Xenopus tropicalis: one gene and its partner. The protein of the gene in region 2 interacts with the protein of the main gene of each other region in a biochemical or structural test. Links are inferred from orthologs where the notes say so. Each region holds a gene or a part of one and is shown on either strand. Other genes may lie near its edges.

Region 1 (4,626 bases), on a different chromosome or scaffold from region 2:
GCAGTCTGTGATCTACTCTGAGCCACTGTCTGTCCCTACAGGATAAATCTCCTCTGTACGACGATGCCACATCAGTACTGAGCGCCCTCCGGCAACTGCCCCCCCAGAGGAAGAAGCCCCCGGCACGGTGAGTGCGAGAAAGCTATCTGCTAGAGTGGAGAGAGCGCTCTCAGGAAGGAGTCAGTGCAGAGAGAGCGCTCTCAGGAAGGTGTCAGTGCAGAGAGAGCGCTCTCAGGAAGGTGTCAGTGCAGAGAGAGAGCTCTCAGGAAGGAGTCAGTGCAGAGAGAGCGCTCTCAGGAAGGAGTCAGTGCAGAGAGAGCGCTCTCAGGAAGGAGTCAGTGCAGAGAGAGAGCTCTCAGGAAGGTGTCAGTGCAGAGAGAGCGCTCTCAGGAAGGAGTCAGTGCAGAGAGAGCGCTCTCAGGAAGGTGTCAGTGCAGAGAGAGAGCTCTCAGGAAGGTGTCAGTGCAGAGAGAGCGCTCTCAGGAAGGTGTCAGTGCAGAGAGAGCGCTCTCAGGAAGGAGTCAGTGCAGAGAGAGCGCTCTCAGGAAGGTGTCAGTGCAGAGAGAGAGCTCTCAGGAAGGTGTCAGTGCAGAGAGAGCGCTCTCAGGAAGGTGTCAGTGCAGAGAGAGCGCTCTCAGGAAGGAGTCAGTGCAGAGAGAGAGCTCTCAGGAAGGTGTCAGTGCAGAGAGAGCGCTCTCAGGAAGGAGTCAGTGCAGAGAGAGCGCTCTCAGGAAGTAGTCAGTGCAGAGAGAGCGCTCTCAGGAAGGTGTCAGTGCAGAGAGAGCGCTCTCAGGAAGGAGTCAGTGCAGAGAGAGCGCTCTCAGGAAGGTGTCAGTGCAGAGAGAGCGCTCTCAGGAAGGTGTCAGTGCAGAGAGAGCGCTCTCAGGAAGGAGTCAGTGCAGAGAGAGAGCTCTCAGGAAGGTGTCAGTGCAGAGAGAGCGCTCTCAGGAAGGTGTCAGTGCAGAGAGAGCACTCTCAGGAAGGAGTCAGTGCAGAGAGAGCGCTCTCAGGAAGGTGTCAGTGCAGAGAGCGCTCTCAGGAAGGTGTCAGTGCAGAGAGAGCGCTCTCAGGAAGGTGTCAGTGCAGAGAGAGAGCTCTCAGGAAGGTGTCAGTGCAGAGAGAGAGCTCTCAGGAAGGTGTCAGTGCAGAGAGAGCGCTCTCAGGAAGGTGTCAGTGCAGAGAGAGCGCTCTCAGGAAGGTGTCAGTGCAGAGAGAGCGCTCTCAGGAAGGTGTCAGTGCAGAGAGAGAGCTCTCAGGAAGGTGTCAGTGCAGAGAGAGCGCTCTCAGGAAGGTGTCAGTGCAGAGAGAGCGCTCTCAGGAAGGAGTCAGTGCAGAGAGAGAGCTCTCAGGAAGGTGTCAGTGCAGAGAGAGCGCTCTCAGGAAGGAGTCAGTGCAGAGAGAGCGCTCTCAGGAAGTAGTCAGTGCAGAGAGAGCGCTCTCAGGAAGGTGTCAGTGCAGAGAGAGCGCTCTCAGGAAGGAGTCAGTGCAGAGAGAGCGCTCTCAGGAAGGTGTCAGTGCAGAGAGAGCGCTCTCAGGAAGGTGTCAGTGCAGAGAGAGCGCTCTCAGGAAGGAGTCAGTGCAGAGAGAGCGCTCTCAGGAAGGTGTCAGTGCAGAGAGAGCGCTCTCAGGAAGGAGTCAGTGCAGAGAGAGCGCTCTCAGGAAGGTGTCAGTGCAGAGAGAGCGCTCTCAGGAAGGTGTCAGTGCAGAGAGAGAGCTCTCAGGAAGGTGTCAGTGCAGAGAGAGCGCTCTCAGGAAGGTGTCAGTGCAGAGAGAGCACTCTCAGGAAGGAGTCAGTGCAGAGAGAGAGCTCTCAGGAAGGTGTCAGTGCAGAGAGAGCGCTCTCAGGAAGGTGTCAGTGCAGAGAGAGCACTCTCAGGAAGGAGTCAGTGCAGAGAGAGCGCTCTCAGGAAGGTGTCAGTGCAGAGAGAGCGCTCTCAGGAAGGTGTCAGTGCAGAGAGAGCGCTCTGAGTGTCAGTGTCTCTTCCCCTTCCTGCTCTCAAGTGCGAGAGTGCTGATCTCTGTGAGACTCATGACTCATCTCTCTCTCTGTCTCTCTCTGTCTCTGGGCAGACTGCCTATCGGTGCCGAGTACCCACCCCTGTGTGCCCCAGAGCAGAGGCCGGGGCAGATGCCCGCCATGAGTGCCAATGAAACTTACGCTGTTGTACAGAAGAAGAGGCCAGTGGCGCCAGAGACACGCCCACAGACAGTGCAGTATGATAATGTGCCCACTCACGTGCCCACTCACGTGCCCACCCCGGCACCTCTGGACCAGCTGTACAGCACTGTCACGCACAAAGGCAACCGGGCAAGCTCTGCCAACGCAATCTCCTCCAACTACACCCTGGCCGGTGCCCCTGGCCCCGCGGAAACTGCCTCCGTCACGTATGCCCAGGTGCCCATGCCCAGCAGGACAGGTAACAGGAGCGTCAGAAGCAGGACGAAAGCCCTAAGGGTCTTCCCGGGTTTGGTGGGCACCTTGTGCTGCTTTATGCCAGGGAATCTAGACTGAGGGTCCTGCCGGGTTGGCACCTTGTGCTGCTTTATGCCAGGGAATCTAGACTGAGGGTCCTGCCGGGTTGGCACCTTGTGCTGCTTTATGCCAGGGAATCTAGTCTGAGGGTCCTGCCGGGTTGGCACCTTGTGCTGCTTTATGCCAGGGAATCTAGACTGAGGGTCCTGCCGGGTTGGCACCTTGTGCTGCTTTATGCCAGGGAATCTAGACTGAGGGTTCTGCCGGGTTGGCACCTTGTGCTGCTTTATGCCAGGGAATCTAGACTGAGGGTTCTGCCGGGTTGGCACCTTGTGCTGCTTTATGCCAGGGAATCTAGACTGAGGGTCCTGCCGGGTTGGCACCTTGTGCTGCTTTATGCCAGGGAATCTAGACTGAGGGTTCTGCCGGGTTGGCACCTTGTGCTGCTTTATGCCAGGGAATCTAGACTGAGGGTTCTGCCGGGTTGGCACCTTGTGCTGCTTTATGCCAGGGAATCTAGACTGAGGGTCCTGCCGGGTTGGCACCTTGTGCTGCTTTATGCCAGGGAATCTAGACTGAGGGTTCTGGGGGGAGGTTGAGTGAGAGGTGGGAGCAGCGGATCAGGGGGGCACTAAATTAGCCATAGGCTGGTAACCTACCCCCGTGGGGTTCTCCCCCTGGCATCAAGGGACTTCTGCTTCCCCTGATGCCAAGTCTAGTGCCAGGGCTCAACCCAAGAAGCTAGCAGCCTGGGCAGTGCAACCTATTGGATGGTGCCAACGGCCCCTCGGCCCACTTACTCCTAGCGGGGGGGGTAGAGTTAGGGACACAGTTGTGGGGCAGAGGGGCAGTAGGGAAGGGGCAGAAGCAGCAGTGCCACCTGTGTGCATTGTGTGTCCTGTTAGTGTTGTGTGTTTCCTGTCCTGGCACTGCCCACTGGCATCTCCCTTATTTACCCTGCTCTCCCCTGCCCGCCCTGCTGCCATGTTCCCTTCCCCACCCACCATCCTGGCACTACCCGCCCACCCACCATCCTGGCACTACCCGCCCACCATCCTGGCACTACCCGCCCACCATCCTGGCACTACCCACCCACCATCCTGGCACTACCCACCCACCATCCTGGCACTACCCACCCACCCACCATCCTGGCACTACCCGCCCACCATCCTGGCACTGTGCCCCCCTTACCCCACGTCTGTCCTGTCTCAGTGTCTCGTGCTGTTCATGTTCCCGTCATGTCAATAAACTGCTCTGTGTCCCACTGTCTGTCTGTGTGTTTGTCAGCTGGGTGTGGGGGGGGCGGGAGGGGGGAGGAGCAAATGTGGGAGGGAAGGAAGGATTAGCAGTGCCAGGGGGGGTAAGATGAAGGGGTTGGGCAGTGCCAGGGGGTAAGATGAAGGGGTTGGGCAGTGCCAGGGGGTAAGATGAAGGGGTTGGGCAGTGCCAGGGGGTAAGATGAAGGGGTTGGGCAGTGCCAGGGGTAAGATGAAGGGGTTGGGCAGTGCCAGGGGGTAAGAATGAAGGGGTTGGGCAGTGCCAGGGGGTAAGATGAAGGGGTTGGGCAGTGCCGGGGGTAAGATGAAGGGGTTTGGGCAGTGCCGGGGGGTAAGATGAAGGGGTTTGGGCAGTGCCGGGGGGTAAGATGAAGGGGTTGGGCAGTGCCAGGGGGGTAAGATGAAGGGGTTGGGCAGTGCCGGGGGTAAAGATGAAGGGGTTGGGCAGTGCCGGGGGGTAAGATGAAAGGGGTTTGGGCAGTGCCAGGGGGTAAATGGGAGGGTGGATGCAGGGGTAGATGAGGGTTGGCGTCAGGGGTAGTAGTGCTGCGGGGGGGTAAGGTGGATGGGGGAAGATGAAGGGGTTTGGGAGTGCCAGGGGGTAAGATGAGGGTTTGGGCAGTGCCAGGGGGTAAGATGAAGGGGTTTTGGGCAGTGCCAGGGGGGGTAAGATGAAGGGTTGGGCAGTGCCGGGGGTGATGGGGTTGCAGCAGGGTAAGATGAAGGGGTTTGGGAGCTGGGGTAGATGAAGGTTGCTCGGGGGGGTAAGAATGAAGGGGTTGGGCAGTGCCTGGGGGTAAAGATGAAGGGTTGGGGCGTGGCCTAGGGGGGGTAAGATGAAGGGATGTCGGGGTAAGAGAGGGTTGGCAGTGCGGG
Region 2 (5,276 bases):
CAAATTTTATTTAAGTGGTTTTTACCTGTTCTGTACCCCTGTCGGAATGCTATATCCCTATGTGGCAGAAATATCTAACCTCATTTAGCCAAGATTATATTCAACAGTTCCGCTGAGGGACCTCACAAATGGACTACATTGAAAACTGTTGGTAGAATATCATATACACTAGAGACGGCTGCTTATTGCAGGCAAATACAGGAAAATTCAGAGATTTAATTGGTAATTTCATTTCCTCCCATAGTATGAGAATGCAATGGAACGCCTGCAAAAGAATAAAGTGTCCTTGTACAAGAAAACAATGGATGTAAGTGTTTTCTTAACTTAGTATATCTGATTCTGTAATATGACAATTCATTGTATTTCTTTTTTTCTGTTAAGTCAAAAAAGAGCTATGAGCAGAGGTGCCGAGAAGCAGAGGACGCTGAGCAGAACTATGAACGGCTGGTAGCTTTAGGAAACCCAAAGCAAATAGAAAAGGTAACAAAGCAAGGAATGTTTAACATCAGGCCCTTTACATGTAAGCATGGCTGCCATCAATAATCATGTGACCCCATACTACTTAGTTAGCAGAGCTCACCCCCCCAGGTGGCCCCAATTATCAGACCATTGGCGTCCAGGGCCCCCTGGATGGTGTACTCAGCTAACAAGTATAATTGGGCCCCAATAAAAATCCCCTGTGCATGCATAACCACATTCACCAATTGCCTGGCCACACCCATTTATGCTGAAACACACTCATAGGCTGCCCAAGCCCTGCTCATCTTCAAGCCCTGACCTTTAGTGGCACATTAATCACACTTTAATATCTCAAATGCCAGCAATGCTCCCTGTACACCCCTGATGGGAGCCCTATATGTATGTAAAACAGTGCCAAGGCTGCAAGCCTGTATCTTGTTTGTGTAAACAGCAGCCTACAGATATGGAGACGGGGCATATTTACTTTTTAGAAAGAGCCTTAGGAAACTGATTATTCTATCACAAGTGTAGTTAAAAAAGTGTTTCTGAACTTAAAAATAAAATGGTTCCATCTAGCCCTCACCCACTACCTTGTAAAATCCAACAAGCTGGCAATAATAGCCTCTTATAAGCATCTCTTTGTCTACTTTGCTTGTGTGTGTATGTGGGTGGTGGGCCCTATTAACAAATGATTTCAGTAGTCATACTGTGGGATTACTATAAATAGTGCACAGAACCATTCACCCTCAGAGCCTCTATTCTAGATTTGTGAAATTGCTTTTATATCATTATAAAAACATTTTATAATTTCCCTCATCCCAGCAGAAAACCTTTACTTTGGGTGTGGTAAGGCTACATATACAGTTACACTGTTGCACTTATTCTGAGGACAAAGAAACATGGATTGGATTACAAGCACTCTCTGACTGTGCCTGCAGAAATGTACAGTAAATTCCCCTTGTCTGACAAGTGTACAGCATACACGTATACTCATGGATAAACAATTATTTAGGGCCCATTTACACTATACACAGAAATATCAAAATACTCAAATAGGTGAAAGTAAAATGGAAGGTTTTGTAGATTTTAAAAGAGTTGGTATTGGGAAAATACAATCCTGCCTTTAGAAGGTGGCACATAAGGGCATATTTTCAAAGATGTGTATATAACAAAAATGAAATAACTGTGAAATAACTTCAAATTTCCTTTTTAACTGAGCTTGCTGTTTACAAAAAGCCAGGGTTACTCTGGAATTTGTCAAAATGTTCCACTTCAATAGATTTGGCAGTGAAACAGAAACTGTGGTATTTAAATTTAATTTAAGAAATAACTTGCACAATTTTACTAACTGTGCTGATTTCTTCATGTTTACTATATTTACGTGGCTTTTTGGGTAATATTTGACTTGAAGCTGTGCAGGTACTTTAAGGCTTCTTGTAGGCTTTCCCCCATATTTAATAAAAGTTTGCCCAAGTGCAGTAACTCATAGCAACCAATAAGATGTTTGCTTGTAGACAGGTGACCAGTAAATGCTACCTGCTGATTGGCTGCTATGGGTTACTGCTCCTGGCAAACTTAGTGTCTTTTATTACATAATCCCCATTTTGTTTTATAAAACAATGGTTTGTGTAAACAGTGGTAAATTGTATTTCAGTGTCATTCTTCATACAGATTTTCTGCTCAGCATATATACAGTATGTGCATCTATTTATTTCTATATGGTATAGGTTCAATTATCCAGAAATTTCTATTAATTGGATCTCTGTACCATAAGGCTAGTAAAACATGTAAACATTAAATGAAGCCAATAGGATTATGTTGCCGCAAACACCAAGGGCCCTCGTGCACTGGAAGCCACCCACTCCCCCCTCTGTGCCCACTTGTGTGTGGGCATGTGTCAGCATAGGCAGGGGGTGCACACATTTTCCCCGGAGTAAAGTAGATATAGAGGAAGCTGCCCCCCCCCCCTCCTGCGGGGTCTGCTTCCTTTTTATTTACATCACTGGCCACCAATATGAATCATGCAGCTTAGCTAGGATCAAGTACAAGTGACTTTTTTAATATTACAGGGAAAAAGTAGCTTACTGCAAAGAGAATTGTTTGCTGAAAATAAGCTCTATAGGAAATGTCCTTCCCATAATTCAGAGCTTTCTAGATACTGGATTTCTGGATAAAAGATCCCATACCTATCAATCTTAAAGTAATTGCTTATCCAATAGTCAATTATGTCAATATAATGGCAAAAGAACCAGTACCCCCATAAATGCAAAGAAAGAAATATGCTAAATGTATTTATATCATAGTGCTTCCGATATTTATCAAGGAAACGTTGCAAACAGAAATGTTATATTTAAATGCCCTTAATTTCTTGTGAAAATGATGCCAAAATTACATTATGAAAATCAAAATTACATCCATTACATCAACAACTAAATATTTAACAAAGATCATTTTGCAATTTCACCACTTGATGTCACTGTTGTGTATTCAGGGTGTTATTGGCAAATTCCTACATGTTCATTTAGATTTCCTTCCAGGGTTTATGTGTTTCTGCAAACAATATTAAAGTCAATTCACTCTGTAAAACAAAAAGTAATGTGATGAATAAACCAACCTCCTGCTATTACAATAAAACACAAATATATATCTTGTTTTATTTTCATAAAACAACATAAATCTGTGGATGAATCTCTATATTTCATTGTAAACCTCACTGAACTATGCAAATCATTTAATGCACTGTATACCAGCTCCATAAATAATGCAGGCTTTGCACAAAAAACACTAACAGCAGGTAACTGATAGCATACTTTTAATAGGTAAATTGCTACTTTTTCTGGCTTTCAGTACGTTGTTAGTAGCTTCCATGTGCCTATTGTAGCTGTTTAATTTGTCAGTATGAAGCATTTTGTAATAGGACTTGATGACATGTTTGTGCTTTGTTTCAGTGCACTTAATCTCTTATTATAGTATTCTTTATTTTCAGAGCCAGAACAAAGCAAAGCACTGTAAGGATGCAGCAGAAGAAGCAGGTACAGTCACCCACCCTAAACACACATACAATTTTGGTAAATCGATTATGAAGGGTAAAAGCATTGCAGAGACTACTATATTATAGGAAAAAATGTCTCATACTTATAAAAGCCTTATTGGAGCTTAGTATGAAAGAAGCAGTAGCTTGGTAGTATGTTGGTGGGGACACATGAGTATTTTTGGAATACTTTTAGCACTGCATTTTAAAGCAGTTAAAAAACATGGCTCTAAAGTGCATGAAATTGTCCCCCATTGACCTACATTGCTGGAACATGCTGGAAATTGCATGTGATGGCATTGTTTTCAAATAAACCCCGAGAATGAAGGAAGTTACATTATGTACAACTGTCTAATAAAGAATATTATATTGTATCATTTACATTTTTGTTTAAAGATCACTGGTCACATCTTCTTATATTCCACCATCAATCAAGTCAATCTTGTTATTAATAAATATCAGGAACATAGTATTAAACACTTCAGTCTTACAGTAAATATGGAAATACTTAGTGCTTATGTCCCATTATATGATATAACTCCACAACAATATAACTCCTTGGGTTTGTTCTAGATCGGCTATATAAGAACAATATAGAACTTCTGGAAAAAGCTCGCATTGAGTGGGAGACAGAGCACAGTAACACATGCGAGGTATCCTTATAGTGCTGATGCCCTCTGAGCTGTGAGTGCTGGGTAAAAAAGTTTGTTCTTTACCTACCGCCTGTTCTATTCTGCAGGCATTTCAACTGCAAGAGACAGATAGAATCAGCATTCTGCGCAATTCCCTCTGGGTTCAGTGCAACCACTTCTCAAGCCAGTGTGTGCGTGATGACGAGGTAACCTGACAGTTATCATAAATAATCACAGATTCTCCATGTCCAGGCGCTGACGTTGTCCTTCCCACCCATCTAAAACACTTCAATTAGCAGCCAATGCAAGCTGATTGTGTCCTCACAATTCCAACAAATCTCTTGTTTTAGGGACTAAAATGTTGCAGCTTTATCCAACATTTTTTGGTGTGTTTTTTGTTTTCATTTTCATTATTACAAAAGATGTTTCTTGTACTGATCTGCACTTACTACTGACAGTTACACCCTGGGGCATCACAGGCTCTACCAACATCACTTCTGCCTGAGGCCCTAAAACTGCTGTGCTAAATGATGCCCTGTATTTCTAGATGATGGAGGAGGTCAGACAGACCCTTGAGCAATGCGACGTGACTACCGAAATTGATTTTTTCATACAGAGTAAAACTACAGGAAAAGTTCCACCAGGTACATGCTGGAAATTGCTTGTGATAGCATTGTTTTTGAGTAACTCTTAACTTAAATCCCAAGAACTGTGACACCCATAGGCTTTTGCAGACACCTTAGACATGATACATCTTTTAAAGGGAAGAAACACACCACCACATACTGGGAAATGCCTTTAAATCATTTATGGCAGCAGAAATGTGCCACGTTGAGCAGGAGGGCCCACTGACACCTGTGCCCACTTGGAGTTCCCTGGTATCCTGGTGGGCCAGTCTCACACTCTCTGTTTATTTAAGTGCTTTACAGCAGGGATCCCCAACCTTTTTTACCTGTGAGCAACATTCAAATGTAAAAAGAGTTGGATAGCAACATAAGCATGAAGACTCATGGGGTTACAAATAGGGGCTCTGATTGGCTATTTGGTAGCCCCTATATGGACTGGCAGCCTACAAGAGGCTATGTTTGGCAGTACACCAGTTTTTTATGCAACCAAAACTTGCCCAAAAGCCAGGAATTCAAAAATAAGCACCT

The links.
Region 1: the proteins of pstpip1 (region 2) and ptpn18 form a complex in vitro, tested with the Homo sapiens proteins (2 studies listed by BioGRID and IntAct). The link is inferred for Xenopus tropicalis from reciprocal best matches to the Homo sapiens genes PSTPIP1 and PTPN18.

Annotation. Positions count from the first base shown.
Region 1 is NC_030684.2:709,708-714,333, forward strand, and holds the end of ptpn18 (tyrosine-protein phosphatase non-receptor type 18), read left to right. Parts: intron 1-41; coding exon 42-127; intron 128-2,070; coding exon 2,071-2,512; 3' UTR 2,513-3,742; downstream 3,743-4,626. UniProt on the Homo sapiens protein: Differentially dephosphorylate autophosphorylated tyrosine kinases which are known to be overexpressed in tumor tissues.
Region 2 is NC_030679.2:90,474,733-90,480,008, forward strand, and holds part of pstpip1 (proline-serine-threonine phosphatase-interacting protein 1), read left to right. Parts: intron 1-244; coding exon 245-307; intron 308-381; coding exon 382-480; intron 481-3,445; coding exon 3,446-3,491; intron 3,492-4,063; coding exon 4,064-4,143; intron 4,144-4,229; coding exon 4,230-4,328; intron 4,329-4,669; coding exon 4,670-4,766; intron 4,767-5,276. UniProt on the Homo sapiens protein: Involved in regulation of the actin cytoskeleton. May regulate WAS actin-bundling activity. Bridges the interaction between ABL1 and PTPN18 leading to ABL1 dephosphorylation.